4 linked regions of the Pelodiscus sinensis genome follow. The protein of the gene in region 1 binds, or shares a complex with, the protein of each later gene. Links are inferred from orthologs where the notes say so. Each region holds a gene or a part of one and is shown in the gene's direction. Other genes may lie near its edges.

Region 1 (7,555 bases):
TGGCTTTACTGATTTCTTTCGTATCCAGAAAGTTTACAACACTGAATATCAAAAAATGAATCCTATACCAACACATAATTGCCTTCAGTGGCATTGGCAAGTAAACCAACAGTGTCAGAACCTGCTGGAAGAAAGCGTACAACCTCTCTTACCATGTAACCTTTTTCTAAATCAATGAAAAATGGTTTGGAAGGTATGTCAACAAAATGATCATAAATAATTAAGGGAATAATTATTTAAAATTATATCATATGTAATAAAAGTATTTAATTTTTTTTGAAGATTGTTTTTTATTTATAGTCTATTACAGTAGACTTCCAATAATCCGGCACCTTTGGGACCCAGGAGGTGCAGGATTATCGGATATGCCAGGGTATCAGGAGGTACTCCAGCAGGGGGCTGTGACGGGTCTGCTGGGACCCGCACTGTGACCAGCAGGAGAGGCGAGGGGGGGGGGGGGCTCAGCTGGGAACGGCACGACGAGGGGCAAACCCTCCGCCGTTTTGCAAGGAGGCGGAGGAAGCCCCACGCAGCCGCCGGTGACAGGCCAGCTGAGGTTGCAAGCGGTGGCAGCAGCAGACTTGGGGAAGCGGCGGAGCAGAGCAACTGGGGTGCTGCCAGGTTGGCGGCGTTGCGGGACCAACCCGGCAGAACCCCAGCTGCTCTGCTCCGCCGCTTCCCCAAGTCTGCCACCGCTGTTTGCCACCTGCTTGCAAGAGGCGGAAGCAGCGGGGCAGAGCAGCTGGGGTGCTGCCGGGTTGGTCCCGCAGTGCCGCCCCTCATCTAGCCCCTCTCCTCCGTCACTGCTTGCAGCCCCAGCTGGCCCGTAGCAGGTGGCTGCATGGGGCTTCCCCTGCCTCCCTGCAAAATGGTGGACATCTTTATACTGCCTTCATACTTACGATAGCCACACTTCTTGCATCCTGCCCTTATGTTATCCTTATTTCCACCTGAAAACAAACAAACTTCTGTTTATGTTCTAATTAGTAACACACAAAATTGTTTCTTTTTATCCTTTATATTTGATTTAACATGGTGTCAAAGTGCATATGCATATTGCAGTGGCTTCAGGTGGTAGCTGAGTTAGTCTGTTACAGAAAAAACCAGCAAGCAAATGGTCTGCTAGCACTTTATAGACAAACAAAACATGTAGATGGTATGAGCTTTCGTGGGCACAGCCCACTCCTTCAGTCTATTAAAAAAATCTGTAACTAGCTAGTCTATTGTCTGGCTAGGCCAGAAGGATAAGATACAATGGATGTGATTTAAATGTCTCGGAGTACCCAGCAAATTAAAGTTTATGGTGCATATAATTCTCTAATCATTTGCATATATGTGGGGACAGCGCTGCCCCTTCCTCATTCTGGTTCTTAGCAATCCCACTGCTGGGACATCTCATCCTCTTCCAAAAAGAGGGGGCTAACTCCCAGTCATACCAGTCTCTAACCACCCATCTCCATTCCTTTAAATACCTTCTTTAAATTGTGTTTAAATTTATTTTATTGGATCACTTTATCAATTCCCTATTGGAGTACCTGTACTGAACATCTGTGACAGAGGCTCCAGCAATTAGCTTGACTGTCTTCCCTCACACCTAGCCCAGTTCCCAGAAATCTATTGATGCCTTCAATATCAGCCAAAAACATATCAACTTCTAAATCTGCAGGTGAACCCTATATTGTCCAATATAGTATGGCAGGATGAGAAATCATCAACTCCCTTATGCCATCTATGATTTTGGCCCCCTCTCTGTTCTCATACTTCCTACTCTTGTCAACCCATGGAGGCTTCACAGCTTCCTGCCAAACCCTGTGTCACAACATGTCCAACCAATTAATTTTTACTCCTGGGAAAGTTCTAGGATCTGCCCCAAGTCCCTCTTAGATCTGAACAATGAGCCTACCCCTTTACAGGTTCCCCAAATCATTTCCCCCAAGGTGAATAACAATCATATCTAGTGCTTGTTCACAGGCCATCTTACTATCAGGAGCATCACCTGTTCCCACAACCAGTGTTCCCTCTAAGATGCACAGGCAGCACAACTTCACAGGTGATGATTAATCAGTCAGCTCCATGCACAGAGCCCTGAGCCTGGCTCGGTGGGGCTGATTAATCACCTGTGAAACTGTGCTGCCTGCACAGCTTAGAGGGAACACTGCCCAAAACATGTCCCTCTCTCACTTTTTAACTTATTTTGGTAAGAAAAAGCATTGAGCCATAATGCAAAGGGAAACAGAATACAACTGTGTTACAACATCCCTAAAGTCACTTTTCTACCATGTATCCTATCACCATAATCCTGATATTCTATGTTAAAACAATTAGTGCCAAGTACTTTTTGTACTTGGCCACAGGTTGGTTTCAGGCATCCCAAAAGGGGCAGGGCTTCAGGTGGAAGGGTTCGTGGCTAGAGAAAGAGAGACTGTGACACAGACTGAGAGTGTGTGACAGTGACAGAGTGTGTGTGTTGGCTGCTGCTGAGTAAGTTCCTGAGAGAAGCTTTACTTTGTCTTTTTAAAGCAGGGGAAACTGCCCTGCTCTGTTGTTGTCCATCCACCCCCTGCAGAGATTGGGTATGACCCATTTACAATTGCTAGTAGCAAGTAGGAATATTAAAAAGCAGGTAATTGGGTAACTCTGTAACTGCAGAAAAGTTTCAGTGGTCTGATTGCTGCATTTGTGGTCAGAAAGCAGCTCTCCTCCATACCAGACAGCATGGGACAGAGATCACTTGTTGAGTTATATTAATGTACTGATGAATTCTTTCAGAAGGGCAGCCATGTTAGTCTGTGTTTGCAAAAACAATGAGTCCTATGGCACCTTAGAGATGGGGGCTACATCTACCCTGCAGACTCTTTGCACAAGAACAGCTGTTCTTGCACAAAAACTTGTGAAATGTCTACACTGCACGTGTGTTCTTGCACAAGTAAATTTACAGTAAAACATCAGAAAAGAGAACTTCTTGTGCAAGAGTTATTCCTCTCCCTACAAGGAATAATCCCTATTACGCAAGAGCTCTTGTACAAGAAGGCAGTGTGGTCAGGCAACAGGGGTTTCTTGCACAATAAACCCCTATGGCTAAAATGGCCATCAGAGCTTTCTCGTGCAAAAGAGCATCCACACTGCCATGGATGCTCTTGTGCAAAAGCACAAGGCAGTGTGGGCGCACTCTCGTGCAAGAACTCTTGCACAAAATAGTTCTTACACAAGAAGTCTGCAGTGTAGAAATAGCCTAACAGATTTATTAGGACATAAGCGTCCACAGGTAAAATCCTCATCATCAAATAAATTGGAGTGGTATTTACCAAGGCAGGGGGATATACACAAGGGCTGTGTCTACACTGGCATGAATTTCCAGAAATGCTTAAAACGGAATACTATTCCGTTTTCAGTTTTTCCGGAAAAGGAGCATCTACATTGGCAGGCTGCTTTTCCGGAAAAGCCCTTTTTCCGGAAAAGCGTCTGTGGCCAATGTAGACGCGCTTTTCCGGAAAAGAGCTCCGATCGCCATTTTTGCAATCCGGGCTTTTTTCCGGAAAAGACTACTGGGCTGTCTACACTGGCCCTTTTCCGGAACAGTGTTCCAGAATAAGGACTTATGCCCGAGCGGGAGCAGAATAGTTTTTCCGGAATAGCGGCTGATTTTGTACAGTAGAGCATCGTTGCTTTTCCGGAAATTCAAGGGCCAGTGTAGACAGCTCGCAGCTTATTCCAGAAAAGCAGCTGATTTTCCGGAATAAGTGGCCCAGTGTAGACACAGCCAAGGACAACTTAAGAAAGAGGATACTTGGGTAAATGAGGCTAATCAAGTGTTATGTGACATCTTTACATTATGATTCAAGGACTTCAATAACGTACAGGCGTGGGTGGATTCTGTAGCCTGCAAAGGTCATGCCAGAGGACTTGATCATGATGAACCCTTCTGGCCTTAGCTATCAGTATATAACTATCCCCCCCCCCCCACCCGACCCTCCGCGAAACCTGGGTTTCTTCCTTCACTCGGCTCGTGGCCACTTCCTTTCTAGGCTGATACCGGCCCCCACTTGCTGCCCGGCTCTTTTCAAAGCTTCACTGCGTTGTCTCCCCCTGGACCTTTGCCCCGAGCTCGTCTCACCTACGGGCACCCTCCCAGGACGGGTCCGGCCCCCCAAGAGCCACCGGAGGTTTCGGCGAGCGGAGACGATGGGACGCCCTCACCACCCAGGCTCCCGTCCCGGCCTCCCGCGCCAGCGTCTCAAGGGTCTCCTCGGCCGCCCGCTGCCCCCACGCCGGGCCAGAGCCCTCACCTGGCAGCGCCATGAAGCCACGAGCCCCGCACGCTCTCCCCGGGCAGAGCCGGACGCAGGCCCGACACCCGAGCGTCCCGGCCGGAGGGCTTTGGGCAGCGCACACCGGGCCGTACCATTAGGCGGGGAGGGGAGGCGGGATCACACCACGGTGTCAGTGCGGGGGATGGAGGAGGCGGGTCGCTGGGGGAACTCAGGCCTAGGGCGCACGACGGAGGCGTTTCCCAGAGCGGGTGCTGCGGCTCCGCGTTTGGCCTCTCGCTCCTGCTGCCTCCCCCCGCGCCGCGGCGCCAAATCCCGGGGTCCAAGATGGCGGGAGGTTCGCAGAGCTAGTCGGGGTTTCAGCAGCGCCAGACCAGGAGCGAAATCGGAGTCGCCGGGTCCGTGCCCGCCCCGCCACCAGCATGAGCAACATCTACATCCAGGAGCCTCCGACCAACGGCAAGGTGCGGGGGGGGGGGAGCAGAAGCCGCCGCCAGGCCCCTGGGGAAGGCGAAGGGAGCGGGAGCCCGACGGGCAGCGCCGAGAAGGGCCCGCGGGACTGTTCAGTATCAGTTAATTGAATAGTCAAGAAACCGCATCAATTCCTATTGTTACTGGCTATTTGATAGTCCCCCGGGGTGGGGCCGGCAGCCAGCGCACTCCAGCCCCGCTCCCAAGGAGCCGTTACCTCGGCTACAGAGGCGGCCGCAGCACAGGGTGCCAGGTGGGAGCTGGTCCATGAGGGAATCCGGGTTAAAAACCAGCTGCCCTCGGAGACCAGCTGCCTGCCCTGGGCTGCTGCCTCTGGTCTAGGTGGGGTCAGAGTTCCCAGACCTGGTGCAAAGCAGAACTGAGCTTGGCTGCTTGCTTGCCTGCCTGCCTAGCTCTTAATACACTTTAAATGCAGAGCTGCAGCGGGGGTAGGTCATGGACTTGGTGTGAGCTAGGATTCTGGCCAGCCTGCTAAAAAATTTACTGGCAGGGGAGGAGGGAAATGCGTGTAATATATAGCATTAACCAGTAAGCTTTTACTTACCAGTTAATTGGTTAATTGGCTACACTATTGCATCCCTAGAGCTGCTGCACCTCCTGGCTTGAAGCAGCCATAACCAACAAGTACATGGTTTCCATCATCGCCACCCACACTATAAAGTGGTTCCATCTAGGAATGTAAAATACCATTCAGTCAGCTAGCTAGATAAATATTATGTTTAACCAGTCAACCGCATAAATGGGGGCGGGTGTGGGGGGAGCAGCTCCAGACCAGATGTATTGGAGCCACCTCCTGCCCCATTCACCATGGACACATTGGAGCAGTTAGGCTGGGCTGGCTGCGGGTGTAGGTTGCTCCAGCTGGACTGGAGCGCCCTTGCCCACAGCACGCTGCTCTGTTAACCATTCACATCCGTAGTTCCAGCACTCCTACAACTATGTTACAGTTGTTGGCAGGTGCAAGTTAGCTTAGCGTATTGCCTGTGTGAGCATATAGTCCTGTGCTTGCATTCTTGATTGCTTGCCTTGGCACTGAACATATGCATGCAGAGTAGTTGGGTCAATGCAAAGTGTGGTGACTTGCATGTAGGTATTCCAGCCTGCAAACCAGCGCTGAATAGTGAAAGGGTGAGCAATAAGACAGTGGCAATTCACCACAGTTAGCCCAGGGCAAGCCGCCAGCCCTTTATTTACCTGCATGTCCACAGGTACGGCCATTTGCAGCTCCCATTGGCCCCCGATCAGTGTTCCTGACCAATGGGTGCTGCGAGAAGTGGTGTCGCAGTCCACGCTACTTCCTGCAGCTCCTGTTGGCCAGGATCAGCAATTTGTGGCCAATGAGTGCTGCAAACATCTGTACCTGCAGCTGCACAGGTAAATAAAGCATCAGTGGCCTGCCGTGGTGAACAGCGTCTGGCCTGTGAGCCACTCATTGCCCACCCTGGTCTAGCACAATACCTTTAGGGAAGTTTTCTCCTATGGTGGGATAGAAATGATGCACACCGTGATTTATGGGAGATAAGAGTAAAGTTCCCAGTATGCAATTTAGAATAATTTGGAACTCTTGGTAATATGGAAGACATAGTACATGGATTTGTAGCAATGGGATTCCAAGGCTGTGATATACATTAGACAAATCCCCATTTTGATACCAGCTTACCTTGCTATAGAGTACAGCAACAGAAAGGACTACTTTTTTGTGATTATGCAAGCAGATCACTAGGGGAACTTTACTGACATCAGTGTGGGGTGGGTCAAGGGGAATGCATGATGCTTATGTCCAGGGCTCGACAAATAATACAATCTACTGGTTGGTGACCACTGCCCTAAACACTTCATATATGAAGTGTGGGGGTTGCTTCTGAGCATATACTTACCACAGGATCCAGAGGCTTTGAAGCCTGGAGACCTTGGCATGCCCTGGTGCCAAAGGTACATGGGAAGGAGAAGATCTCTCAACTGAATTTTAATCTCTCTAAACAACTAAGGACTGTAACTACTATTAACTCACTGACGTTAACAACTGTAAAGGACTACGAAAGAGTAAATAGGCTGCTTCACTTGCAAACAAGAGAATAGGGGAGTTTCATCTCTCACTGATGGTAAGAAGGAATTGAGGAGGCTTTTTGTTTTCTTTACTACTAGAAGACTTATCTGGCATTGCCCAGGTGCTTCATTGCAGAGGGCTCATGGAGTGTGGGGGTCCAGGAGTCAGGGTAGGGCCTTGGGGATGTGGGGAGCTCAGGGCATGAGGCTGGAGGCATGGGAGTGTGTGAGAGTGAGCATTGGGTGGATGAGGCAGGCTCAGGACAGGGGGGCTCAGGACAGAGTGGCTGCTGGTTTCTCCTCGTGGATAGCCCAGGGCACCGGGTACTACAAACTCCCTCTGCTGGCTTGTCCCCAGGGCAAGCAGGGGCTCGCTCCTTCCCTCCTGGCCCAGCCAGGAGTGGAGGGTGTCTTCCTCCCCCTAGATCCTTCTGGGATGGCAGGGGCTCTTTTCTTCCCCTATGACCCTGCCCAGGTCATGGGGGGACTCTCTCTCTCCCGTCCTGGTTCCACCCAGGGCAGGGGGCTCTCTTCTTCCCCTCCTGGCCCTTCCCGGGATTTGGGGGGCTATCTCCCTTTCCCCTGATCCCTCCTGAAGCAGGGGGTGCAGCAGGGTCTCTCTTTCTCTCCCCCTTACCGCATCTGTGGTGAGGGAGTGAGGGTGGCAGGGGCTGTCTCCCTGGCAGGAGGGCCTTGCTTACCTTTTCTGGTGGCAGGCAAAATGTCAGAGCCTCAGCCCTGCTGGCCAC
Region 2 (7,881 bases), on another chromosome or scaffold:
ACTTCCCTAGTTCTGCTGGAAATGCTCCTATTAATGGAACCTAATGTGCCAGTAGCCTTCTTGGCTACAAGGGCACACTGTTGACTTATATCCAACTTCTCATCCACTGTAATCCCCAGGTCTTTTTCTGCCAAACTGCTGCTTAGCCAACCAAGCCCAGCCTGTAGCAGTGCTTGGGATTCTTCTGTCCAAGTGCAGGACTCTGCTCTTGTCCTTGTTGAACCTCATCAGACTTCTTTTGGCCCAATCCTCCAATTTGTCTAAGTCATGCTGGACCTTATCCCTACCCTCCAGCATATCTACCTCACCCCCTATCTTAGGCTGTGTCCAGACTCAGGGGGTTTTTCGAAAAAAGTAGCCTTTTTTCGAAAAAACTTCACCTGCGTCTAGACTGCAGCCGCGTTCTTTCGAAATTAAATTGAAAGAATGCGGCTTTTCTTTCGACAGTGGTAAACCTAATTCCACGAGGAAGAACGCCTTCTTTCGAAAGTGCTCTTTCGAAAGAAGGCGTTCTTGAAAGCAAACAGGCTTTTTAGAAAGAGAGCATCCAGACTCATTGGATGCTTTCTTTCGAAAAAGCGGCTTGCTTTTTCGAAAGTTCCGCATGCAGTCTAGACGCTCTCTTTCGAAAGAGGCTCTTTCGAAAGTATCTTTCGAAAGAGCCTCTTTCGAAAGAGGCTTGCAGTCTAGACATAGCCTTAGTGTCATCTGGGAACTTGCTGAGGGTGCAATCCATTCCCTAATCTAGGTCATTAATGAACATGTTGAACAAAGCCAGCCTCAGAACTGACCCTTGGAGCACATCACTTGATACCAACGGCCCACTGAGCTGTTGATCACTAAACATTGAGTCCAACGATCTAGCCGGCTTTCTATTCACCTTACACTTATCCAATCCATAAATCTTTAACTTGCTGGCAAAAATACTGTGGGAGACCATATTAAAAGCTTTGCTAAAGTCAAGGTTTATCATGTCTACCACCTTCCTCATATCCACAGAGCCAGTTACCTCATCATAGAGAGCAATCAATTTAGCTAGGCATGACTTGCCTTTGCTGAATCCATGTTTATTGTTCCTAGTCACTTTCCTCTGTTCCAAGTGCTTCAAAATGGATTCCTTGAGGATCTCCTCCCTGATTATTCCAGGTACTGAATTGTGGCTAGCCCCAGATTCTCCTCCTTCCATTTTTAAAAGATGGGCACTACATTCGCCTTTTTCTGAAGTTATTACATTGGACTATGGTTGAAACTGATTATTATGCAAGCTTTTCTGTGTTTAGTATTTTAAAGCTATATCAATTTAAAAAATAAAATTCTACTTCAGTATGAAAATATGTTTTACTTACTGTGGTAATATTACAAGTAACAACTATGATACCTCTAACTGAGGATAAGAGAAAAATGTTCCTCAGTTTGTTCCTGTTCACCTTTGAAAATGCCTGATGTTGCATAATGCTTTTTTTGGAATGTATTTGACAAAGTACAATGGGGAATTAAAAATATTTTTTAACAGGGAAATGTGATAGTAATACAACAAAAACTAGCACTCGGACATCATAGTATATAAAGCTATATTTGACTCCATCAACTACATTTTAAAACTGACTAGATTTCAAGATGACAATGCTGCTCATGTATCTAACTTTCTAGAATCCTGTTATATACATTTTTAAATACACAATATTCTATAAATGTAGATGGTACTCAATTGTTACCTGTTTTTCTTTTGTATTATAGAAATTTTATGAGCAGTTTTAATTAAAGAAGCACCAACCAAAGTTGAGTGTTTCTATCTAAAACAAGTCACAAAGAAAACTTCAAACATTAGTTAAGTTTCAAGCATCATCTGAGTTTTTTTAGGTATTTTTTCCCCCACGTCACAAACTTTATAAAGGGGATTTTATTTTTCCCCCTTATCAAATAAATCAATGTCAAACCACACACTATATGTGAAAAACTACTCAATATATTTGGCTTGTCAAGCTATTTGATCATTAGTTCTTAGTAATAGTGGTCTATCCCCTCAACTCAGCAAATCAGGTGCAGAAGAAAGTTGGTGACAACCTGCCTTTGTGTTTCCCCATTCTGAACTCTCTGAGTATTGGTCTAAACTCCTATGGTAGTATTCATTTTATGAGTTTCATGTTCCCAATACTCCATCAGCAAAATGTAATATTATAGTGTCTTCTATAAAACTGAAGTGTCTATGGGGGGATGGCTTTGTTGTTCAAAAAAATCTTAACTAACCTTTCTCAATTAATTTTATTGTGCTTTACCTGCATTTAAATTTCCATGGGTTTACAGTTTTTCCTTGAATTACTTCTATGTATTAACATGTGTTAACTGCAGAGGAGACCAAACTTTTGAACATAATGCTGGCTTAGGCATGATCTTGCAGTGACATGTGTGCACGTAGACTTCTGCATTCAGAGTCTCACTGATTTCTGCGAGCGTGGAGCTTATCAGAGTAATGGTGGGCATCCCATGACCTGCATACATCCATTAAGGTTCTATGTGTGACCCACAAGACATTTTGTTTACTGTTACCCAGGTGCAGTGTTGCCACACTCTGGTTTCCATCTGCATAGCTTTTCCTATTGGTATTACTAAATGAGAAGTAAAGCAAAGGGTATGTGAAATGATGTGTGCGCTGACTGCTGACTGAACACAACACTGACTATGAGAATCATGCACTCCCTCCACAGCCAAAATACTGCTATGGTTCAATTAGCGTAACCCAAAAGTTTTATGCACACAAGAACAGCTAGCAAAGCTACCCTATCCCAGGAATGACAGTCTTGATTACGACAATTTTGCAGCCCATGTAAATGAAAGAGAGCCACTCATACTGTCTGCTCACTAGCATAGTTTGCTCATCACTGAATTGGAGGATGATGGTTTTAGGCTATAAGCCACCAGCTCTTGAAAAGACACTAAAGATATAATACAACCAGCACTCCTGGGTTTGCTGGAAATGTCAAAGGTAGAAAGAGACCAGTTGGAGTGGAATTGGCAGCATCAGGACTGTTAGATCCTTTCCCTGGCTCTGGGAGAAGAATGTGGTCCAGTAATGCTCCCCTCTGAAAAACTTCAATGGAAAAGAAAGTTTTAACACTGATAAAAATACTGGAAAACTCATTTCAAAAGGTAATACACACTTACTCCACTCATTTACAAAGGTGAAGATTTGACAACCATGCATTTGACTGTACTTTGTCCTTTTACTTTCCTAGTTGACTTCTTCAGGAAAAAGATAGTCAACCCTTCCTCAAAGCTATTAGCATTAAGTTAATTATACAAATTCTTACCTTGTGAGCAAGTGAAATTCTCTTAGAAGACGGATTTGGTTTAAGTATTATATACAATATTATATTTACAGTAGTTACACATATAGAACAGATGCACAGCCAGATAAGGTGTGTTCCCAAAACTGAGAAGTTCTCCAAAAAGAGAGGTGGAACAATAGTTGTTAAGATAATGGAAAATACACAAATGATGTGGGCAAACAGCAGTCTCTTTATTTCTGTATCTTTCATGGTGTTTTATCTTGAATAGTGCACCTACAATAAAGCAAATGACATTCCTGTAGTTAATTTCTGAAAAATTTAAGAGGGAGGGTAAACTTAAAAAAAAAAAAAAAAACGTTGAAAAAGATAAATTGTGTGCTACTTTAAAACAGAAAACCTAGGAGCAACCATGATGTTTCATTCCAATTTTTTTTTTTTCAGATATTGTACTGCATTTTGTGATTGGCAGTGAATTGTGATGTTTTCTGCTAAAACATCTGATTCACTGGCTTTGCTGATGTTTACATTCTCAGGCAGACACAGCCTATACCACAGGCTTTGTGCCATCAGGCAATTTGCAGAGGAGGAAAAAGGTTTGACCTTTGTGCAACATGCCTCAGTCTATGTCTAGACTGCAAGCTTCTTTTGGAAGTTTTTCCAGAAGAGATCTTCTGGAAAAGCTTATTTTGAAAGAGTGCATCCACACAGCAAAAGCACAATGAAAAAGTAATGTGCTTTTTCAAAACATAGCACCCACATTAATTGGATGCTATCTTGCATTTAAGTTGTGATTAATATGGACGGAGTGGCCACCAGGGCACCTGTGTTATTTCCTGGAAGCCTTTTCTTTCAAAAGAACTCCCTCTTCTACGTCTACACATGCATTTTTCTGGAAAAGCTTTTTTGGAAAAAAGCTTCTGCCTCATAGAAAGAGGTTTACCACTGTCAGAAAAGCCCCTCTGTTCTTTCAGCTTTCTGTCGAAAGAAAGTAAAAGCAGTGTGGACGTAAGTATTGTTTTTCCAGAAAAATGGCCATTTTTTCTGGAAAAACGCTGCAGTGTAGACATACCCTCCGATGGCCCGAACCAGGCTGCATCACCAAATGGTTCGCTGGGAGGATCATTGGGTACCCAGAGTGGCACTGATGGGAGTGGCGAGGTGAATGCTGCCCCACGTCCCCCTTGTGACCTGTGACATCGATGCCACAGGAGAAGAAGCCCAGCAAGTACTGGCAGGGGCAGAGGCTTGACTGCTCGGCTGGAAAACGCACCACAGCAAGGAAAGGCAGCGGGCGCTGCCCAGGATGGGATGCTGGGGAGCCCGAGGTGGGGCCGCGTCACGGGAGGGGAGGGGGAGCAGCAGAAAGCGGGGGGAGGAAGACAGTCAGCGGGGGGCGGGCAGCAGCCTGCTGGGAAGGAAGAGCACAGACCGTTTGTCTCTTACCCGAGTCCCTGTCAGCAGACAGTGGGCGGGACTACGCCGAACACGAGGTCAGAGGTCGCGCGGCTCTCGGGCCCCGGCGCTCAACTCCCTGCGTAGCAGGCGGCGCTGCGCGCCTTGCTCAAAGGAGAAGACACAAGGCATGAGAGTGACGGATGGTGGCGACCAGTCAGGCTGCGGGGGACGTACATTGAGCAGCCCCATAGGTTGGCTCCATAGGGAGGCGGGCGAGCGCGGAGGCCGGAAGAGGAAGGGACTGTCCGGAAGTGGCAGTTTGTTTTGGTCTGTCGAGCTGTTGGTGGTCTGCGGCTGCCCGGCGGCGGTTCCAGCTCAGCATGGTCTGCGAGAAGTGTGAGTCCTCGCGGGCGCCGGTCCCTCCCCGCCACTTCGGGCAGCGCCCCGCGCCTGGGCTCCGCCAAGCCGATGCGTGCCTGGAGTCCTCGCCCACCGCCTGAGCCGCGAGACCATCCCCCCTCCCCCCGCCGCAGCTGGGTGCCCAGCGGGGCAGGGGATCCTCTTTCCCCGCCCCCTACCATCTGCGCAAGGGGGGAGGTTGAAGTTCCATGATTATTCATAGAGCCATAGAGCTGGAAGAGACCTCAGAAGGTCAAGTCCGGCCCTTGCTCTAGGCAGGATCAATCCCAACTAAATCAACCCGGCCAGGGCTCTGTCAAGCCGAGACTTAAACACCTCTAGGGATGGAGACTCCACTACTTCCTTAGGTAACCCATTCCAGTGCTTCACCACCCTCCTAGTGAAACAGTTTTTCCTAATATCCAACCTGGACCTCTCCCACCCCAACTTGAGACCATTGCCCCTTGTTCTGCCATCTGTCACTACTGAGAACAGCCTCCCTCCATCTTCTTTGGAACCTCCCTTTAGGAAGTTGAAGGCTGCTATCAAATCCCCCCTCACTCTTCGCTTCTGCAGACTAAACAGACCCAAGTCCCTCAGCCTCTCCTCATAAGTCATATGCTCCAGCCCCCTAATCATTTTGGTTGCCATCCACTGGACCCTCTCCAATGCATCCACATCCTTTTTGTAGTGGGGGGGGGCCCAGAACTGGACACAGTACTCCAGATGCAGCCTCACCAAAGCCGAATAAAGGGGAATGATGACATCTCTGGATCTGCTGGCAATGTTCCTCTTAATGCAACCTAATATGCCATTAGCCTTTTTGTCAGTTAAACACTGTCTGACATCTCTCCTGAGTGCACCAATATGGAGCTCATGTGCAGCACATCTCCTCCGTATTGATGCACATAACATTCATTTTGCACAGGGATGATCTGAAGGCATGTTAAAGTGTGTGTAACTGCCTAACTGCTGAAAATTACACAGTTACACACAGGGCAGCTTTTAAGCTGGCTCCCATCAAGTATAGGCTCCCGCCTGCTGCCCCTGCATCTCTTCCCCCAGTCTCTGGCAACTCCATGCACAGTAGCCCTGAACCCTTGTGAAAGGATTTTTAGGCAGCTGTTTAGCTTAGAGGGAGCTCTGCCAGGATGGGGGCATGATGTATCTCCCTGTTCGGGCTGGGTCTCATCTACACACACACACACACACACACGTGTGTGTGCATGTGCACTCACTCATTCTCCTCCCTCTCACCCACAGCTGGGCGGTCATAACTGAGATGGGCATAGCTATTGGTAAACTGCCTGGGTTTGTGTGGGGTAGCTGTCAATATTCACATCACAGCTTCCTGGCTGCCCCTGCTCTTGTCTCATCTGTATCATTGCCTCTATCAATGAACTAGCATCTTTCACAGGGGATCTATAGGGTCTAAGCAGAGCCTGGCTTCTCATGTGGAGCTGCTAAGCACTGATTCCAGAAATATATATTTAATAACATTTGTATTAATAAGAACCATTTGCTTAGAGGCTTTAATGAAAACTAAGTCTAGTTTTCTTCCCCTGCTGTGTGTTCTGTTACAGGTGAGAAGAAACTTGGCACTGTGATTACACCTGACACATGGAAAGATGGAGCAAGAAATACTACAGGTGTTGCATTCAAAGACTAACTTAATTGAGGAAGACTTTAAGCTTTTATTATGCAAAGAACAATGCCAATAGATGAGCAGCTTCCCCATTTCTGTCCTTCACTTCAGATTCTTTCCTATGATAATTCAGTCTATTGGACTATAATTATTTTGCTCTTCTGTAGTGCAGTTTGTAGAGATGTAAAATTCCATTTAATTGGTTAACTGATTAAATGTTACATGTATCTAATTAATGGATTAAAGGGGGTGGGGGCATTCCCTCAGTCCTCTGCCACAAGCAGGTCACCACAGCCAGAGCAGTCCCCTACCCCCAGTGGGCAGGGAGCTGCTCCAACCCCCACCGGTTAACCTTTCGCATCCCTAGCAGTGTGTATTTCTACTATATCACAATACGAAATAATGAAATGTGGATTAGGTGGTCCTGTTATCCAAATTCAGGGTGCACTATATTCATTTTTCCACCCATTTGCTTTAGGCCACTCATCCTCAACATTTTATTTTCACCCACCATCAGGCTAATAATCCTGGTCATTATTTTATTTGGTCGTTCTGAGATATTAGATACTTTTTATTTTCTGTTGTACTGCTACATATTTAGCAGCTAAATGGACTAGGAATACCAAACTGATAAACAGTAGGTTAACAATGCGGTATTGGTTAGGAATGTTAAAATGTGTGTAATTAAGGGTACATCTAGACTACAGACTTTTGTCGACAGAAGTTTTGTCGACAGATACTGTCGACAAAGCTTCTGTCGACAAAGATCGTCTAGACTACATCCAGTTCTGTTGACAAGCAAGCCGCTTTGTCAACATGACAGTGTAGACGCAAAGGACAGTGTAGATGCAGAACTCTGTCGACAAAAGGCGTTATTCCTCGTAGAATGAGGTTTACAGCCGTCGACAAAACTGGTGAGTTCTGTCGACATTATGTCGACAGAACTCAGCGGCAGTGTAGACGCAGGTATAGTTTTGTTGACAAAAGTCCGCTTTTGTCAACAAAACCCTGTAGTCTAGACACACCCTTAGTAACCACATAAAGTCCTAAAAATTTCAGTGGTTACATGTGGGATGGCTGATGGCTCCCCATGTGTGCCATCTCTCATCTACCACCCTGTGCTGCTGCCTCTGTATCAGAGGTAGTAACACAGGG
Region 3 (7,687 bases), on another chromosome or scaffold:
GACGTCCCCTGCCCGCGTGTGCTGCTGCAGGACGTTCTCCACTTCCCGGGGCCCGAGGCCCCTCACGTCGGCCCCATTCACCTTGGCCACGAGGTCGCCCTCCTCCAGCAGGGGGCAGCGCCCCCGGTCCCAGATCCTGGCCACCTGGGCCCCAGGCCCCCCCTCCTCGGGCGCCTCCACCGTGAACCAGGGCCCCGTGGCGCTGCGGGGCAGGGGCACTGGCGTCAGCCGGCCGGGCGGTGGGGCAGGGCGGGGCCTCTGCTCCGCCCGCTCCTCCTCCTCCCCTAGGCAGAGCTCTGCACAGCAGCGCACCCCCAGGCCCCGGGGGCGGCGGGCGAGGGGGGGGCTGGGCGAGGCAGGAAGCCGGCAGGAGCAGCGGCAGGGGGCGTCCCGGTGGGTGTAGTGCAGGATGCAGCTCCCGTCCACCACCACCACCACGTTCACTGCGGGGCACAGAGGGCAGAGTTAAGGGGGCCCCCCCAGTGCCCGGGGCAGGGGCGGCAGGGCCGAGCGTGGCGCCCCCAGCACCTCCCGGGCACCCAGGGCAGGTGGCAGAGCCCTCCGGTTGGCAGGGGGTGGGGAGGGGGGTGCCCCCAGTGCCCCCCGCTTACCTCCAGCCGCCGGTGCCACTGCTGCCGGGATCAGGGGTTCAGGGGCCCTGTGGGGGCTCTGGTGGGCACTGCAGCTGGGGGACGGAGAATAGGCGGGGTGCATATTTGGGGGGAGGTCCCTTTCTCGGGCAGCTTTCTCCCCCCTAGGATCCCCCATGTTCCCCCCTTCCCCTGGGATCTCTCCCCTATATCCCCCTCCCCCCTAGGCTCTCCTCCTAGGATACTTCCCCTCCCCCCCATAGTCTCCCCCTTTCCCCCAGAGCCCCCACCTCCTGGATCCCCCCAATTGCTCCCCGGTACCTCCCCAACCAAAGGCAGCCCCTTAGCCCCAGCTCATCCCTGAGCATCCCACCTCCTCAGCCCCCCAGAAGTGCCAGTCCCTCCAATCCAAGGGGGGGGGAGTCACCTGATGCCACAGGCTTCGCTTTGCTCCGCCCCCCAGTGCTGGAGTTGGGGCCCAGCCCCGCCCATGGTGCAGCCGGGGGCCTCGCCCCTGGGACCCCAAGTGGGGGGTTCTGCTTGCTGAGGAGTGGATCCCGAGACCCCTGAGTGCGGCCTGCCTCAGCCCTGTGAGGGGAGAGAACAGGAGAGTTCAAACCTCCCCCGATGCAGCCATGTCTGGGGTGGGGCAGGAAGGTAACAGCCACATGGAACCGGCCTGCAGCATGGCACTGCCCAGCGCCCTGCCCGGCCCTGCTCTGCCCCCCAAGCATGGGACCCCAGTGCCCAGGCCTGACTGCCCACCAAAGCCCCCTGCCCGGCCCCTCCGCCCCACGTGCGCCTCTTCTCTCCTGCCTGCCTAGAGTCACGAGGGTGGCGGAGAGGCACTTGGGGCCCGGAGGGCGGCCGTGCCCCACAACACCGGCCTGGGGGGAATCACTCCTCCCTCTGCCCGGGCTCCCACCCCCTCTCTTGGATCAGCCCAGCTGTGGGCCCGAGGGCTGGCTCCCTTGGCTCCAGAACTCGCTGGGCTCTAGAAGGGATCTCGCCCGCCCACCCACTCTGGAACCTACAGGAGAGCTCGCTCCGGGGGCGCAGGCAGTGACTGAGATCTGGCGCTGCCCAGGTCTCTCTAGAACCCCTTGGGGAGCCAGGGCTGGTCTCCATCGCGCTGGGGGTCTAGGACATGGCTCTGGGCCCCAGCGCCCCTGGTGACTGGCCATCCTCCCCACACTGGCCCCGGGAGCGCTGGATGAACTCCATCAGCCAACTGGGGGGCTGATTAGGAGGCTCGGCTGTGATGGACCCGGGGCAGGGGGCAGGTTCTGCGAAAGCAGGAAGTGGGGGTAGCCCCCTTGCCCGAGGGGAGGGAGAAGGAGCCTGGCAGGAACGGGTCCGGGGAGGGAGCAGTAAGGTGGGGAGATGTGGGGGACAGACCCACCGTGGCAGGGGGTACTGCTATGGGCAGGGCAACAGGCAGAAGAGAGGCTGACAGATGCACAAACTCCCCCGCCGCAGAAGGGGAACCCCTGGGGCAACCAGGCGGGGGGCCAACTGAGTCATGAAGGGACGGCTGCAGCTTCTGGAGCGAGAGGAAGGGCCAGGGGCCAGGAAAACGGTCTCAGAGGGAATCTGGAAGGAACTCTATTGTTCAAGAACCCAGGTGGGATCCAGAAAAACCTCTGCTGCTCTAGAACCCACCAGGGATCTCAGCAAATTCCTTTGATCTAGGCCCCACTGGAGACCTGGGATGCTCTCGGCCATTCTAGAGCCCATGGAGGGTTTGGAAAGGCCTCTGCCACTCAAGAACCTGCAAGGGGGGGGGCTCTAGAAAAGCCATTGGTATTCCAGAAGCCACTAGGGATCTGGGAAAAGCCCTGTTCTAGGAGCCGCTGGGTATCTAGAAAAGCCTCCCTCCCTCAAGAACCCAACGGGCACCTGGGTGATCTAGAACCCATTGTGCTGGGGGGTAATCTAGAAATGTCACCGCCTTGGACTCTTCCAGGTAGGGGTGGGGTGATGTGGGGGGGGTGCCTCCCAGGCTCTGCGAGGCCGGTGACGTTACCCAGTTGCTGCTGGGGGGAGGAGGGGAACTGGGGTGCACCTGCCCTCTGTTTCTAGTCCGCAAGCAACATGGCATATTTTGAGGAACACGTGAGGCCGGGAAAAGGTCGGTTCCCCCCCTCTCCCATGGGTGTGTGGCGAGCAGGCCAGCAAAAGGGGCCGGGAGGGAGAGGACCGTGGCCGTCATCGCTTGGCTCCATTGCCGCGTGCCTCAGTTTCCCTCTGGGCTTCACCCGGGGAAGAGGTGTCCGTCCGCTCCCCGGCCGCCGCAGGAGGCATGGGGTAGGGGTGTCATCTCACTGCCTGGATGGGGGAAGGGAGAACCAGGTTTGTTGGACCCAAAGCGACCGAGGGGCCGAGCAAGATGAGAGCCTCCCCCTCCCCCCCGCAACCATCCGCCCTCCCCCCGCCCCCCGCAGGAAAGCCTGGCTGGCACAGCTGGGAAATGGGGCTTTTGGGGGACTCTGGCACCCAGGGAATGGTGAGATCGGGAGGGGCCAGGCCCGGCCCGCCCTGTGCCTGTGTCGCTCCTCAAGGTCACATGAGCGGGGAGGGGGAGTAGCTGGTGGGGGGAGGGGGCTTTACTTCCCACACGCCAGAGCCCTCCCAGGAGGAGCTGAACGTGCCGCTGCCCCTTCCAGCCTGTCCCAAGGCCACCCCCAGAGCTGTCGGGTTCCTCCCCCAGCCCCTTGTCCATCACAAAATCAACCTCTAGGCTCCCCACCCGCCCCTCGCCAGCGCTGATCTCCCCTCCTAGGCCCTCAGGACGCCCCCCCTCCCCACGCCATCCCCCGGCTCCGGCAGCCAGCACAATCCAATTAACAGCTGATCCCGCCCCGTCTCTGCTGGCTGGGGGGGGCTCCCTTACCTTGGGGTGGCCCCGGCATCTAGCGCTGCTCCGGCCCCCCCCTTCCGTAGTGGTACCCGATGCTGCTGGGGTTAGCAACGGGGATCTCCAAGGCAACGGGATTGATGCCCCGGTAACCCTCCACCTCCTCCTCCTTCGCTAGACTCTGGGGGAGGGGGAGAAGGGGAAGATGGACAGACGAGCCAGCCAATCGGAGACCACAGTGGCTAATCTCCCCCTGGGATATGGAACACGGGGCCTGACCCCTCCAGGGGGTGCCGGTTCCAATCCAGCCCCGGGGCGGCTAGTAATGAATAAGCAGAGTCATTTCTCGATACAGCCTTCGTTAAGGAGAGTGCATGGGCATGGGGGAGGCGTTCATTCGCCAGCCCCTAAAGCGAGGCCTGGTAGAAACCCGGCTCTTCCCCAGGCCACACAAGGTACAGGGCTAAGGAGCAGGGTGGGCTGGGAACCAGGACTCCTGGGTTCTCTCCCTAGCTCGGGGGAGGGGGTTAGAGGCCTTAACCAAAGCACATCTGTTCAGCATCAAGCTTGAAAGTCACTGGAGCTGGCATGGGGTCACAGGGTGCCAGGAGTCACTAATCTCCCACCCCCAAGAGGAGGGGGCTGATTCAGGACCCCCCCAAATATCAACAGGAGACCGGCCAGACGGGGTCAGAGCAAAGGTCCCTCCAGCCCAGTGTCCTGTCGGCCGACAGCGGCCAGCGCCAGGGGCCCCAGAGGGAGGGCTCACAACTGGGAACCGTCCCGTGATCCCTCCCCTGCAGCCCCTGTTCCCAGCCTTGGAGAAACAGGCCAGGGGCACCCTCCCGCCCGGCCTGGCCTGCAGCCATCCATGGACCCACCCTGCCCGGATGTCTCCAGCTCTTTGTGACCCCTCCTGCGGCAGGGAGTTCCCCAGGTTGGCTGTGCGCTGCGTTTAGAGATGCTCGCTGCACGGAGCGACCCCCCCCGTCCGAACGTCACGGCAGCTGCTGGGCCTGGGGGGCTGCTCCCCTGCGGCAGCAACCAGACGATTTGGGGGTTTTAAGGACGCAGAAAATTCCCCGGTGGGGGGATCTCGGGGTGGGGGCAGAGGGTGGGGGAGGGGAGTGGGGGGGGCAGCCCCGCCCCGCACTACATCCCCCATGATGCTACGCGTGGGGGCGGGTCTATAACCCCCATGAGGCCCGGCGGGCCAGCTTGGAACTACAGCTCCCGCGAGGCCTTGCGCGCGGCGGTGACTACAACTCCCGTGAAGCCTTGCGCGGCGCGCGGCGGCAAGATGGCGTCGGACGGCGGCCCCCCGGCCCCGCGGCCGGTCTCGTTCGGATTCACGCGCACGGTCGCGCGCAGGCGGCTCGCGGGGGAGGGCGGGGCCGACCCGGAGCCCGATTTCATCAGCGCCGTGGAGGGGAGCGAGCTGCGCAGGTGAGAGCAGTGCGCATGCGCGGGAGTCAGCGCCCCCCGGGGGGGCGGGGCTGCTCGGCCTGCGCACGTGAGCAAGATCGACCAGGTGCCTGGGGGAGGGGCCATGTGGGCTGGAGAGGGCGTGTCTGGGGGAGGGACTATAGGGCTGGAGGGGGCGTGTCCGGGGGAGGGACTATAGGGCTGGAGGGGGCGTGTCCGGGGGAGGGACTATAGGGCTGGAGGGGGCGTGTCCGGGGGAGGGGCTATATGGGCTGGAGGGGGCGTGTCCGGGGGAGGGGCTACATGGGTTGGAGGGGGCGTGTCCGGGGAGGGGCTATATGGGCTGGAGGGGGCGTGTCCGGGGGAGGGGCTACATGGGTTGGAGGGGGCGTGTCCGGGGAGGGGCTATATGGGCTGGAGGGGGCGTGTCCTGGGGAGGGGCCATGGGTGATTGGTGTGAGGCAGGGTCTGTATCCAGTGGGTGAGAAGGAAGAGGCTCAGGGTAGTGGGTGGGGCCTCTGTGGGGCAGGCCCTTGGGATGGGGCAGTGGGCGGAGCCAGGGTAGCGGAGGGGGGGGGAATGGGAGTGGTGCACTCTGGGTATCCCACGGCAACGGGATGGTTTCTCTCTGGCTCTCAGCCTCCGGCCAGTCCCGCCCTCCAAGCCGCTCGTCATCCCCCTGATCCAGCGCAACCAATGGAAGAAGCCGGCGACGCCCCCCGTGGGGGCCCCAGACCCGCCGGCCGATGATGGGGTGGAGTCCCAGGCCGTGAGGGAGCTGATCGAGGGTGAGCGAGGCAGGGACCCCAGGAGTCCCCCCCCCGCACACACTAGTTCCCGCCCCCTGAGCGGGGACCCCGGCGTCCGGCTCCTGACGGTGCCTGTGCTTTGCAGAGAGCCGGCAGTCCCAGGAGCGGTGGGAGAGTGGCTCCAAGGCCGACCCCAAGCTGGCCATCCCCCTGCTCATGCAGAACCGCGTCCCCGAGGGGTACGAGGATGGGGACCGGGTGGACGTGAGCCTGCGGCCGGAATCGGTAAGAGCCCTCCGACGAGCCCACGGCTTCCCCTGGAGCCCCAGCGCCAGCCCCCTCTTGCGGCTCCGAGCTACGTGTCCCAATGCCTGTGGCGGGTGGTTCCGCAGGTTAACGACTCTCCTGCCCTTCTTGCCCTGCAGTCGACGGAGGCGGATTATGAGGTGGTGCCGGTGGAGGCCTATGGCGTTGCCATGCTGCGGGGCATGGGCTGGAAAGCGGGCGAGGGCATCGGACGCACCTTCAAGCAGTGAGTGACCTGGGGGGCAGAGGGATGGGGGGCGGGGCAGGGAGATTTTGGAAAGGCTGTGGACCAGGTTACTGTAGGGGCTGGTAGGTTGGAGGAGGGTGATGGGGGAAGGAGTCCTAGCTCAGCAGCTGGGGGGGTGATATGCTTTCAGAGGCGGGTCCCCAAATAACCCTTCCCCCCTTTAGGGACGTGAAGCCGCTGGAGTGCCAGCTGCGCCCCAAGGGGCTGGGGCTGGGAGCTGACCGCTCGGCCATCCAGGACCTGCAGCCGGCTGGCCGCCCTCAGCCCCCCAAGCCGGGCGAGGAGGAGCCGCTGGGGCTGGTGGCAGGGGGCGCTGTGCTGATCATGGCTGGGCCCCACAGAGACCTCTATGGGAAGGTGAGTGCCCCCCCATTCCTTGGCCCCCGAGCCAGCCTGTCCCTGCCCTGGGGCCGGGTGGGAGCCGATGCCCCCTGGAAGCAGAAGGCTCACCCCTCGTTCTCTTTTCTCTCCCTGTCCCCAGATCGAGGGCGTAGACCCCGATAACGCCCGGGTGATGGTGAAACTGGCCATCGGGGATAAAACGGTCACCATCAGTCAGCACGTCCTGCGGCCCGTGACCCAGAAGGAGTACGAGAAGCTAGCCAAGGATCTGAGTGAGTCACATGACTGCTCCCAGCCACACCCCCCCCGCCGCCCGCCTCCCCCGTCCCCTCCTCACTCCCCTTTTCTCTCCAATCCCCTTCACAGGCCGCTTAAGCCAAGCCCAGAAGGAAAAAGAGGAAAAGCAGAGAAATGAGCCTACTGAGGCTCTGGCCACCACGGTCCCCCAGGACACAGGGGAAAAGAAGGACAGAAAACGGAAACAGGCAGCCTCGGAGAGGTAGAGACCTGGGACGGTGGGGAACAGCCACGGATAATGCTGCCTGGGCACGGCTTGCTTGGTGCCGAGATGCAGCCACCTCTGGGGCAGGGCAGGTGGGGAACAGCCACATAGAACACTGCCTGGGCACGGCTTGCTTGGTGCCGAGATGCAGCCGCCTCTGGGGCAGGGCAGGTGGGGAACAGCCACATAGAACACTGCCTGGGCACGGCTTGCTTGGTGCCGAGATGCAGCCGCCTCTGGGGCAGGGCAGGTGGGGAACAGCCACGTAGAACACTGCCTGGGCACGGCTTGCTTGGTGCCGAGATGCAGCCGCCTCTGGGGCAGGGCAGGTGGGGAACAGCCACATGGAATGCGGCCACCTCTGAGGTGGGTGCTGTCTCACGGCCCAGAGGAGGATTCCCCAAGCTGGCGTGTGGCCCGGACACCCTGGTGCCAGTGCAACTCAAGTGCCTTTGATGAAACACTGTGCCCCTTCGCCAAGCACGGTGCCCCCAGCCCCCCCCCCCCCCCCCCGCTTCTCGCAGCACGGTGCCCCCCCCAGCACTGCTCCTGACTGCCTGTTCTCCTCAGCGCCCCCCAGGCTGGGAAGCAGAGCAAAGGCAGCAGCTTATCGTCCTCCCGCACCCCCCACTGGCTGCGGCGAGACCTGCGGGTTCGCTTCGTGGACAA
Region 4 (7,443 bases), on another chromosome or scaffold:
TGCTCATTGACTTGTCTTTCCAACTCTCGCTTTTCATCTTCTAATTCTAGAATCTTATAAAGAACATAGGTATGCCTGGTAGTCATTGTTATGTTTTTAAATACAATTAAAATATAAGATATAAATTTTACTATCTTTGAAGAAAAAAATGATAATCGACAATTTGTCCATTAAAGCAGCCTCAGGAAATCAGCAAGATGTGTTTTGATCTTTACTGCCACCCAGTGGAACTAGAAAACTTTTTTAAAAAGGTAAACAATATTTTGAAGCAGTTTATTGATCAAATCAGAAAATAGTGAAGGTTTTGTTTGTTGATTTTGTTTGCAAAAGAAATTGTCAGAGTGCTCTAATAAATGTGAGAAAATCCCAATGAGCCAGGATGAGGAAGATGAGAAGCACATTTTTGAGCCAGATCATAGGTACACTATGAGTTTACAGCCTCACTTACTCTCTTTTCCATGTCAGATTTGCCCTGTTCAGCCTGTAATGCCTTCCTCATACCAAAGGCAACACTACTTTCATACAGTGTCTGATAAGCAGCGATGGTCATTCGGATTTCATCTCTGACTCGAAGCAGCAATAGTCCCCGCTCTGCACAGTTAATTGTAACCTCACGGATGAGTTCATCTTTAAATAAAAAAAGTGTAACAGTAAACAGAGAGAGAGAACGTTTACACGGGTTTCAAGACAAACATTTTGACATGGGTCAGTGTGCTTGGCAACGTAATTATGGCCATGACATTTGTGGTGTTCAAGACAAGGTAGTGTAGACCTGAAGTTTCCTATGGCTAATGAATAAAAAATTAATTATATTAATATATCTCTCTGACCCAGTGGCTGGTTTCTTCCTCCAGTCTCCATGGTTGGTCTGTGACAGCAAGAAGAGTAACAAGGTGTAACCAAGATATTTAATTTATTTAACATGACAATCTAATTATTAGAGCATGAACTAAGTGTGGTTGAATGAATTTTTCCCTCCCATGCAAATATGCAACCCCAGCTTACTATTCAATGCCCTGTTGCCACAGTGACACCTTCTCGGCATCAGCTTGTATATAGACATTTTTAAAAATATACTGTTCTGTAGACAAGCTAAAATTAAGAGGAAATACGCATGTGGCAACCATGCTTCATCTATATATGGTGGTGAGAGATGCAAGAGGGCTAATACAATATTTTTAGTAACAATGAAAGCTTTCCCACATGCACTTCCTTCTGCCAGTCTGTCTCAGCCCTGCACTGTAGGGGACTCATTAAAACCAAAAGAGGAAAATGTGTGTCCATTCTGACTGAGGGTTCTTTACTGAGACTTCATAAAGTAGCCTTCTTATGTTAATTCTGATGTGGATCTCTGCACCAAGAAATGAACTGAAATCAATAGGTCAGACAGACAGACATGGGATGGTAATGACCATAGTTCCTGCTAAGGTGTGCGCCTGTGTGGCCATGCACACAAAATTCTTCCCTCATCCCCCTCCTCTGGAGAGCTTCACAGCAGCACTCACGCAGCAGGTGGCTGCTCCTGTGGGTGGGGCCGGCTGAGATGACATGGTGAGGGAGCCACTGGGGCAGAGGGCTGGGACCTGGCAGCTGGGGCCAGGAACAGGACCTGCCGCATGGGGAGAGGGCTGTCTGCGCCAGCAACTGGGAATACGATATGCTACATGGCGGGGGGAGGGGCGGGTTTCTGCTCTGAAGGCTGGGAACATGTGTGTTAATAACTTGGGTGCCATAGTGGCACACATCCAAACCAGCGCACATGACCTCAGTATTGGTGCACAAGCCAAAATTCACTCTGCTCATGGTTGGAAAATCTTAGTGAGAACACTAGTAACGACTCTTATTCCTTCCTGACCAAGGTGGACAAGAATCCATACACGTTAGATAGAAGTCTCCACTTCCCATTCCCCATGTCCTGAGCTATTCAGAAACTTCTAGTATTATAGTATCCTTCAAACAAGCCTTTTGCTATAGTATCTTGGACCTAGATGTATTCACTGACCAAAGCATTGTGAGTAGAGTTCCCTGCGGACAGGACAAATCCCAGTTTCTCGAGCCTGCCTTTGCTGTAATTTGAGATCCAGCTCTTCCTGCAGATGAACTACATCCATTCGGGTACTGGGAGTGGTGGACACCTGCTGAATCCATAACTGGTTGTCTTCCACCCATTCTCTGCATCACAAAAGCAGCACAGACTAAATCAGCATATGCTTGAGCTCTCATTTCCACCACAAACTGAAGGAATCCCATATTTTGTACACAAAAGCATGCAATGCAAGCATGTTCTCCTGCTTCCATTGTCAGTAGAATCGAGAGATCAAGTCAGCACAGATTCTGTTGAATGTCCTGATCCCTAAACAAATGCTAACTTTACATCCTTCATTACCCCTACTGAACTGGTATTTCAACAACAGAGGAATTTGATAGCATTTTACATAGCAAGTAAAGAACTTTTAACTACAGGATACTTAGATAACAGTAAACATAGCTAACTGTTCAGAATGGCAGTGTTCAGATATCCAGGCATGCTACATGGGCATCAGGCAAGACACAAGACTTAAAAAGGCTTAGGGACTGCTGTTTTGTGGCTGATACTGCATGTAGTAATCTGAAACAGCAGAAAACATTTCTAGATTATATTACTTTTGAAACGGATGTATAATTAATCAAGGCCACTCACTACCTCATAGGTATTGAGGAAATTAGAAAACATATTATGTAACTACCACTAATCAGTCAGCACCAACTATTAGATGAGCCACATGCACTGACGGGAACAAATATTTTATTTAGCTAGAAATCCATCTCCCAATCTCTCCCCAACGCTATTTTGTGACAGTCACTGAGGGCAGGTCTACACTACAAGGGACAGGTCAATCTAAACTACTCAATTTGAGTTACATTAGCAGCATAGCTCAAATTGACGTTTAGATCTACTTACCATAGGGTCCACAGTGTGGGGAGTCAACTCAAAAGTCTCCCATTGACTCCCCTTATTCATCTTGTTCTGCTAGAGTACCGGAGTCAACAGGAGAGTGATCAACAGTCAATATAGTGAATCTTTACTAGTGATGGATCGATGACTACCGTGTGGCTCCACCTTATAGTGACATGCCCTGACTCCTAACATTCAGAGCCCCTCACTGCCTGCCCCCAACCTTAAAATTTCACACTGATGACTTCTCCTGGGACCATGGTGAAAGGGTGCAAGAGCAGTTTCTTGCCTTGGTGGCAGGATTGCATTTAAGATTTCTTCTGCCTGTTTTGTTGGATCTACAGCTGTAGGAGTAGTCTTGGGTTTTGGAGGAGGCGGCACAGGTCCAGTTGACACTGGCTGCTGAGGACTCACTTTCAAAGGACGCGCCTGCAAACAAGAAACATACCAGGGCTATAAAGGCACGGCACATGTTTCAGCCAGGGTGCGTGGGGAAACCACACAGGCTCCCCATGCCCTCATCTCATGCAATTCCCTCTCCAACAGAATAACCCCTAGATTTCCCAGTTTAGGTCTCTCACATGCTCCATCACTTAAATTTCTCCCGGCCCCCCCCATAATCCCTCTTTCCCCATGAGCCCCCAGTTCAACCCGCCCCCCACCTCCAGCCCCCCCTGCCCCCCCCGCTCATCCTTCTCCGCCCTCCACATAACACCAGCTCAATCCTGTCCCCGTGTACCGCTTCCCCATGCACCCCCACCCCCTCCCTATGCACCCCAACCCCTCCCCCCTCCCCATGCACCCCCCCACCCCCTCCCCATGCACCCCCCCCCCTCCCCCCTCCCCATGCACCCCCCCACCCCCTCCCCCCTCCCCCCGCACCCCACCCCCTCCCCACGCACCCCCATCAACCAGCCGCCCGATGCCCTCCCAGCTCGCTCGCCCCCCGGCAGCCCCTTTACCTTCGGGGAGCGCTTCTCCGGGTTGCGGCTCACCAGCACCGGGGTCTCGTAGCGGAGCAGCGAGTCCGCCGGGGGGATCATGGCGGCTCCGTGGCTCGCTCTCTCCCCGCAAGCCGTGTACCGTCACCATGGCAACAACGGGGCCGCGTTCCGCCGTGTCACGTCGTCACGAGGCGCCCCCGCCCGCCAGCGCTCGACCCAGGCTGCGAGAAAAGTGGACCGCGCACGCGCCGTGCCGGCTGTGGCGAGGAAAACGGGTCCAGCTGCGCATGCGTAGAGTGTAAAAAGCGAACTCAGGGCTGGCGAGGCCGGGCCACTCCCTCAGCCCAGCCAAGGCTGAGAGCAGCCAGATCGGCTGAGGAAGGCGCCGCGCGCCCAAGGCCACCTCACACAGCGCGTTGGTTTCCACAACGCCCGGGTTATTCACGCGAGGCCTCCCACGTCACCTGCTTCCCCCCCCCCCGCGCGCACACCCCTCAGGCCTGCCTGGCACGAGTGCTTCCGGGGCGCCGGGCACAGATGCCCCGGAAGCGGAAGTACTAGGCTTCTCGCTTACTCTTTGTGAGCGGAAGGGCCTTGCGCAGCCGCCGCTTTTCCGCTTGCCGGGGACGTGCGGCCGCAGCCCGGCTCGTGGGGTCCCGGCGGTAGCCATGGAGGAGGCCGAGCCCGAGCGACGGCGGCGGAAGCGGCGGCGACAGGAGCAGGAAGACGGGGGGGAGAAGCGGAGCCCCCGGCGCTCCCGCTCCGCCCGGGGTAGCCAGTCCCCGCCTGCCGAGCGGAAGCAGGGCCCGGCCCGGCCGCATCAAGCAGCCCAAGGCCGCAGCAGGTATCAGCCGCCTGCGCTCAACCCGCTATGGCGGGAGTGGAGAGCCTCGCTCGCTGTCTCGTGCGGTCCTTGCGGCTCCGCTGGACGCTGTGTGGGAGACTCAGGGCGCGCGGGGGAGAGCCCCCCCTTCCCCGGCCCCCCTCGGAGATTCCCCACTCCCGCTCAAAGGTTTCTCCCAGCGTTTCCTCCTCCTCCCCCACTTCTTCCCTTCAGACCGGTTGGTGTCCACCGCCCCCAGATACATAGAGCGGGGCAATGGCCCAATTGTTTTTCCTTCCGTGTGTAGAACAACATTTTGTGTGCATCGGAGCGTGTGCAGATGTGCACTGCTACATTGTGGGTAGCTGTGGGCCCTCTGCCAATCAGCTGGGTGGTATTTGAATCCTCTGTGCTGCAGCCCAAGCTCACAGCTTAAAGGGAACACTGCAACTGGGAGACCCTTCCCCACCACCTCATCCTTCTATGATACAATACAGGACAGTAGTAGTTACAGATTAAGGTTAAATTGTCAGGTGTGTTTTGCACAAGCCTTTTCCTTTCCTTTTTTCCTTGGGGCAAGAGTGGGTTGTGGACCCAAAACATGATTTTTTTTTTTGAATATTTAAAGGTCACCAGCAAAAAGAAAGAACAAGTCATCTGCTAAAAGAGGCAAGTCTCCAAGAAGTAAAAGAAGTAAAAGCCCTCATCATATTGTAGTCAAAGTAAAACAGGTAATTTGCTGGATATTAAGCACTAATGTCCTAGCACTGAAAATTATGCTATATGACTGAGGCATGACTTGAAATCAGTGGGCATCTGTTGAAACCAGTTGTCTGTCTGCTTAGATTAACGTGGGAACGCGATCTAAATAGGATGGTATGACTAATTTATCACTTGATTACCCTATTTTTTTATTATTTGATTATTTTTATCGTTTATTATAATTTGGACATTTAGGAACTTCCACCAACGGAGTGCTGTGCACACTACTAAGGCCAGAAAAAGTTCTGTCACTCAAGGGGATGGCATTTTTTTCCACACCAGTTATACTGTAGACTATGGATGTTAGTATGTAGCCATTTCCACAAATAACCAAGTTAATCCTGACAACTACACTTGTGCACACACCCCTTTTCTGCCTCTGTATCAGAGGCAGAGAGGGGGGAAGGTGGGAGCTGGTGCCTGGGGATCCACCTGCCCTCCTCACCCCTGCTGCTTCCCACAGCGGCTGGTATGCAGGCAGAGAGAGAGACAGGTGTGTAAACATGTAACCACTAAGAAATCTAGTGGTTACACATTTACACAAATAAACATTAGTTAACATCCCTAGTGTAGACATGTCCTAAATCATAAAATTGAGTGATTGTTGGGGATTATTTTCCCAACTTGAGTGTTGAAGAACACTATACAACAGTGTTACTCATGCACAGGGCTCGCCAAGCGGCGGTGAGCCCTGCTCGCCAGCCGCGAGGTTCTGCGAGCTGCGGATGCGCAGATCTCATGGTGCTGGCTGTGCCAGCTTGTAATCTACTCACTGGGGGTGAGTAGATTACATGATTTGTCGAGACCTGCTCATGCATGTAGGCCGTGATACCTTTCTTGGTGAAATTGTGCAAACAAAGATGTTGGGAAGTGAGATGAAACCGTGAGAGTAACCTTTTACAAAGTGGGTTCCATAATGGAATGTCTAGAAAACAGTGGCTATTGAGTTCAGCTACATAGTAAGATTTTATGCATGTGTTGAAACATGCAGAAGACTGAATAACCAAAATACACTATAATTTCTGTGCTCGGGGTGTTTCTAATTCAGCAACACCCATAATATGATATGGACCCTGGCAGGTGGAGGCAGAAATAGCTCTGTTGTACCCCCTCCTTCCCAGCTAGGGGAAACAGCAGTACAGGGATGCATTCTGCTGGAGGCTTTTTCCTGTTGCTCCCATGGGAGTGCCAGGTAACAACCCTGCTCCCATCTTCCGCATTCTTTCCTTGAGCTGACAAAATCTTTAATCCAGCAAAACCTGTTTCCTAGGGTTGCCATATTAAAGTGGTTTGAGTGTAGATTGAACCTCTAAAATCCTCATCAACAATCTTGGTTCGACCAGACCACAGATATTGCTGGACCAAAGAGTCCCAGCGGCTGGAAGCAAGAGGCCAGCCAGGGTCAGGAGCTCAGTTCTGGCCAGGGCCAGCCGCAGTAGGGCCAATGTGGCTGGGAATGCAACTCTAGCTGGGACTGACAGCACTGGGGCCAGCATGGTGGGAAACAGCCTAACAGCCAGGGCTGACACCCAGTAGAAGGGCCGAAGTGGAGCTGACAGTGGGGAGGGGAGCCTTGATCTCCCCTGGTCTGGCAAACTCTCTGGTTCAGGACCACTCAGATGCCTGAGGGTGTGGACCAAGGAGGTCAAACCTGTATTAGGAAAATTTGTTCTAAACATTGGTCTGTAATATCAGCAGTAGTTTAGAAACTTGGTTTAAGATGGTATTTTTCCATGTAAGGAAATGACCAAATTGTTAAGAGCATAGCAAATATTTTAATTTAATTTTTAGATTTTAAACTTTCCTGGCCAACAGTTATTTTTGCTGCCTGTACAGAACCCAGCATAATCCTCAGTGGGGAGTTCAGGGTTCTACCCTAATATCAGTGGTAATATATAATTTAAAATAAGCCAAGCACTAGTAAATTATATGTAAGCCAAGAACCTTTGCTTTTTAAAAGAAAGTAACTGAAAACTGAT

Evidence for each region.
Region 2: CWC27 (region 1) and CRIPT share a complex: the UniProt entries of both Homo sapiens proteins name them as parts of the minor spliceosome. The link is inferred for Pelodiscus sinensis from reciprocal best matches to the Homo sapiens genes CWC27 and CRIPT.
Region 3: CWC27 (region 1) and GPKOW share a complex: the UniProt entries of both Homo sapiens proteins name them as parts of the minor spliceosome. The link is inferred for Pelodiscus sinensis from reciprocal best matches to the Homo sapiens genes CWC27 and GPKOW.
Region 4: CWC27 (region 1) and SNIP1 share a complex: the UniProt entries of both Homo sapiens proteins name them as parts of the minor spliceosome. The link is inferred for Pelodiscus sinensis from reciprocal best matches to the Homo sapiens genes CWC27 and SNIP1.

What each region holds. Positions count from the first base shown.
Region 1 is NC_134716.1:91,048,103-91,055,657, reverse strand, and holds the start of CWC27 (spliceosome-associated protein CWC27 homolog), read left to right. Parts: upstream 1-4,550; 5' UTR 4,551-4,690; coding exon 4,691-4,732; intron 4,733-7,555. Other genes in the region: uncharacterized protein LOC102460411, read right to left, coding at 903-950, 4,287-4,299. UniProt on the Homo sapiens protein: As part of the spliceosome, plays a role in pre-mRNA splicing. Probable inactive PPIase with no peptidyl-prolyl cis-trans isomerase activity. As a component of the minor spliceosome, involved in the splicing of U12-type introns in pre-mRNAs.
Region 2 is NC_134713.1:164,111,304-164,119,184, reverse strand, and holds the start of CRIPT (cysteine-rich PDZ-binding protein), read left to right. Parts: upstream 1-4,868; 5' UTR 4,869-5,062; coding exon 5,063-5,078; intron 5,079-6,664; coding exon 6,665-6,730; intron 6,731-7,881. Other genes in the region: PIGF (GPI ethanolamine phosphate transferase, stabilizing subunit), read right to left, coding at 3,309-3,536. UniProt on the Homo sapiens protein: As a component of the minor spliceosome, involved in the splicing of U12-type introns in pre-mRNAs. Involved in the cytoskeletal anchoring of DLG4 in excitatory synapses.
Region 3 is NW_027465877.1:101,214-108,900, forward strand, and holds the start of GPKOW (G-patch domain and KOW motifs-containing protein), read left to right. Parts: upstream 1-4,674; 5' UTR 4,675-4,747; coding exon 4,748-4,893; intron 4,894-5,511; coding exon 5,512-5,660; intron 5,661-5,766; coding exon 5,767-5,906; intron 5,907-6,046; coding exon 6,047-6,153; intron 6,154-6,338; coding exon 6,339-6,531; intron 6,532-6,655; coding exon 6,656-6,788; intron 6,789-6,882; coding exon 6,883-7,015; intron 7,016-7,588; coding exon 7,589-7,687. Other genes in the region: membrane-associated guanylate kinase, WW and PDZ domain-containing protein 1-like, read right to left, coding at 1-443, 612-685, 1,018-1,082. UniProt on the Homo sapiens protein: RNA-binding protein involved in pre-mRNA splicing. As a component of the minor spliceosome, involved in the splicing of U12-type introns in pre-mRNAs.
Region 4 is NC_134735.1:9,846,402-9,853,844, reverse strand, and holds the start of SNIP1 (smad nuclear-interacting protein 1), read left to right. Parts: upstream 1-4,430; 5' UTR 4,431-4,547; coding exon 4,548-4,723; intron 4,724-5,330; coding exon 5,331-5,433; intron 5,434-7,443. Other genes in the region: DNALI1 (axonemal dynein light intermediate polypeptide 1), read right to left, coding at 1-53, 449-627, 2,003-2,172, 3,225-3,364, 3,898-3,978. UniProt on the Homo sapiens protein: Required for pre-mRNA splicing as component of the spliceosome. As a component of the minor spliceosome, involved in the splicing of U12-type introns in pre-mRNAs. Down-regulates NF-kappa-B signaling by competing with RELA for CREBBP/EP300 binding.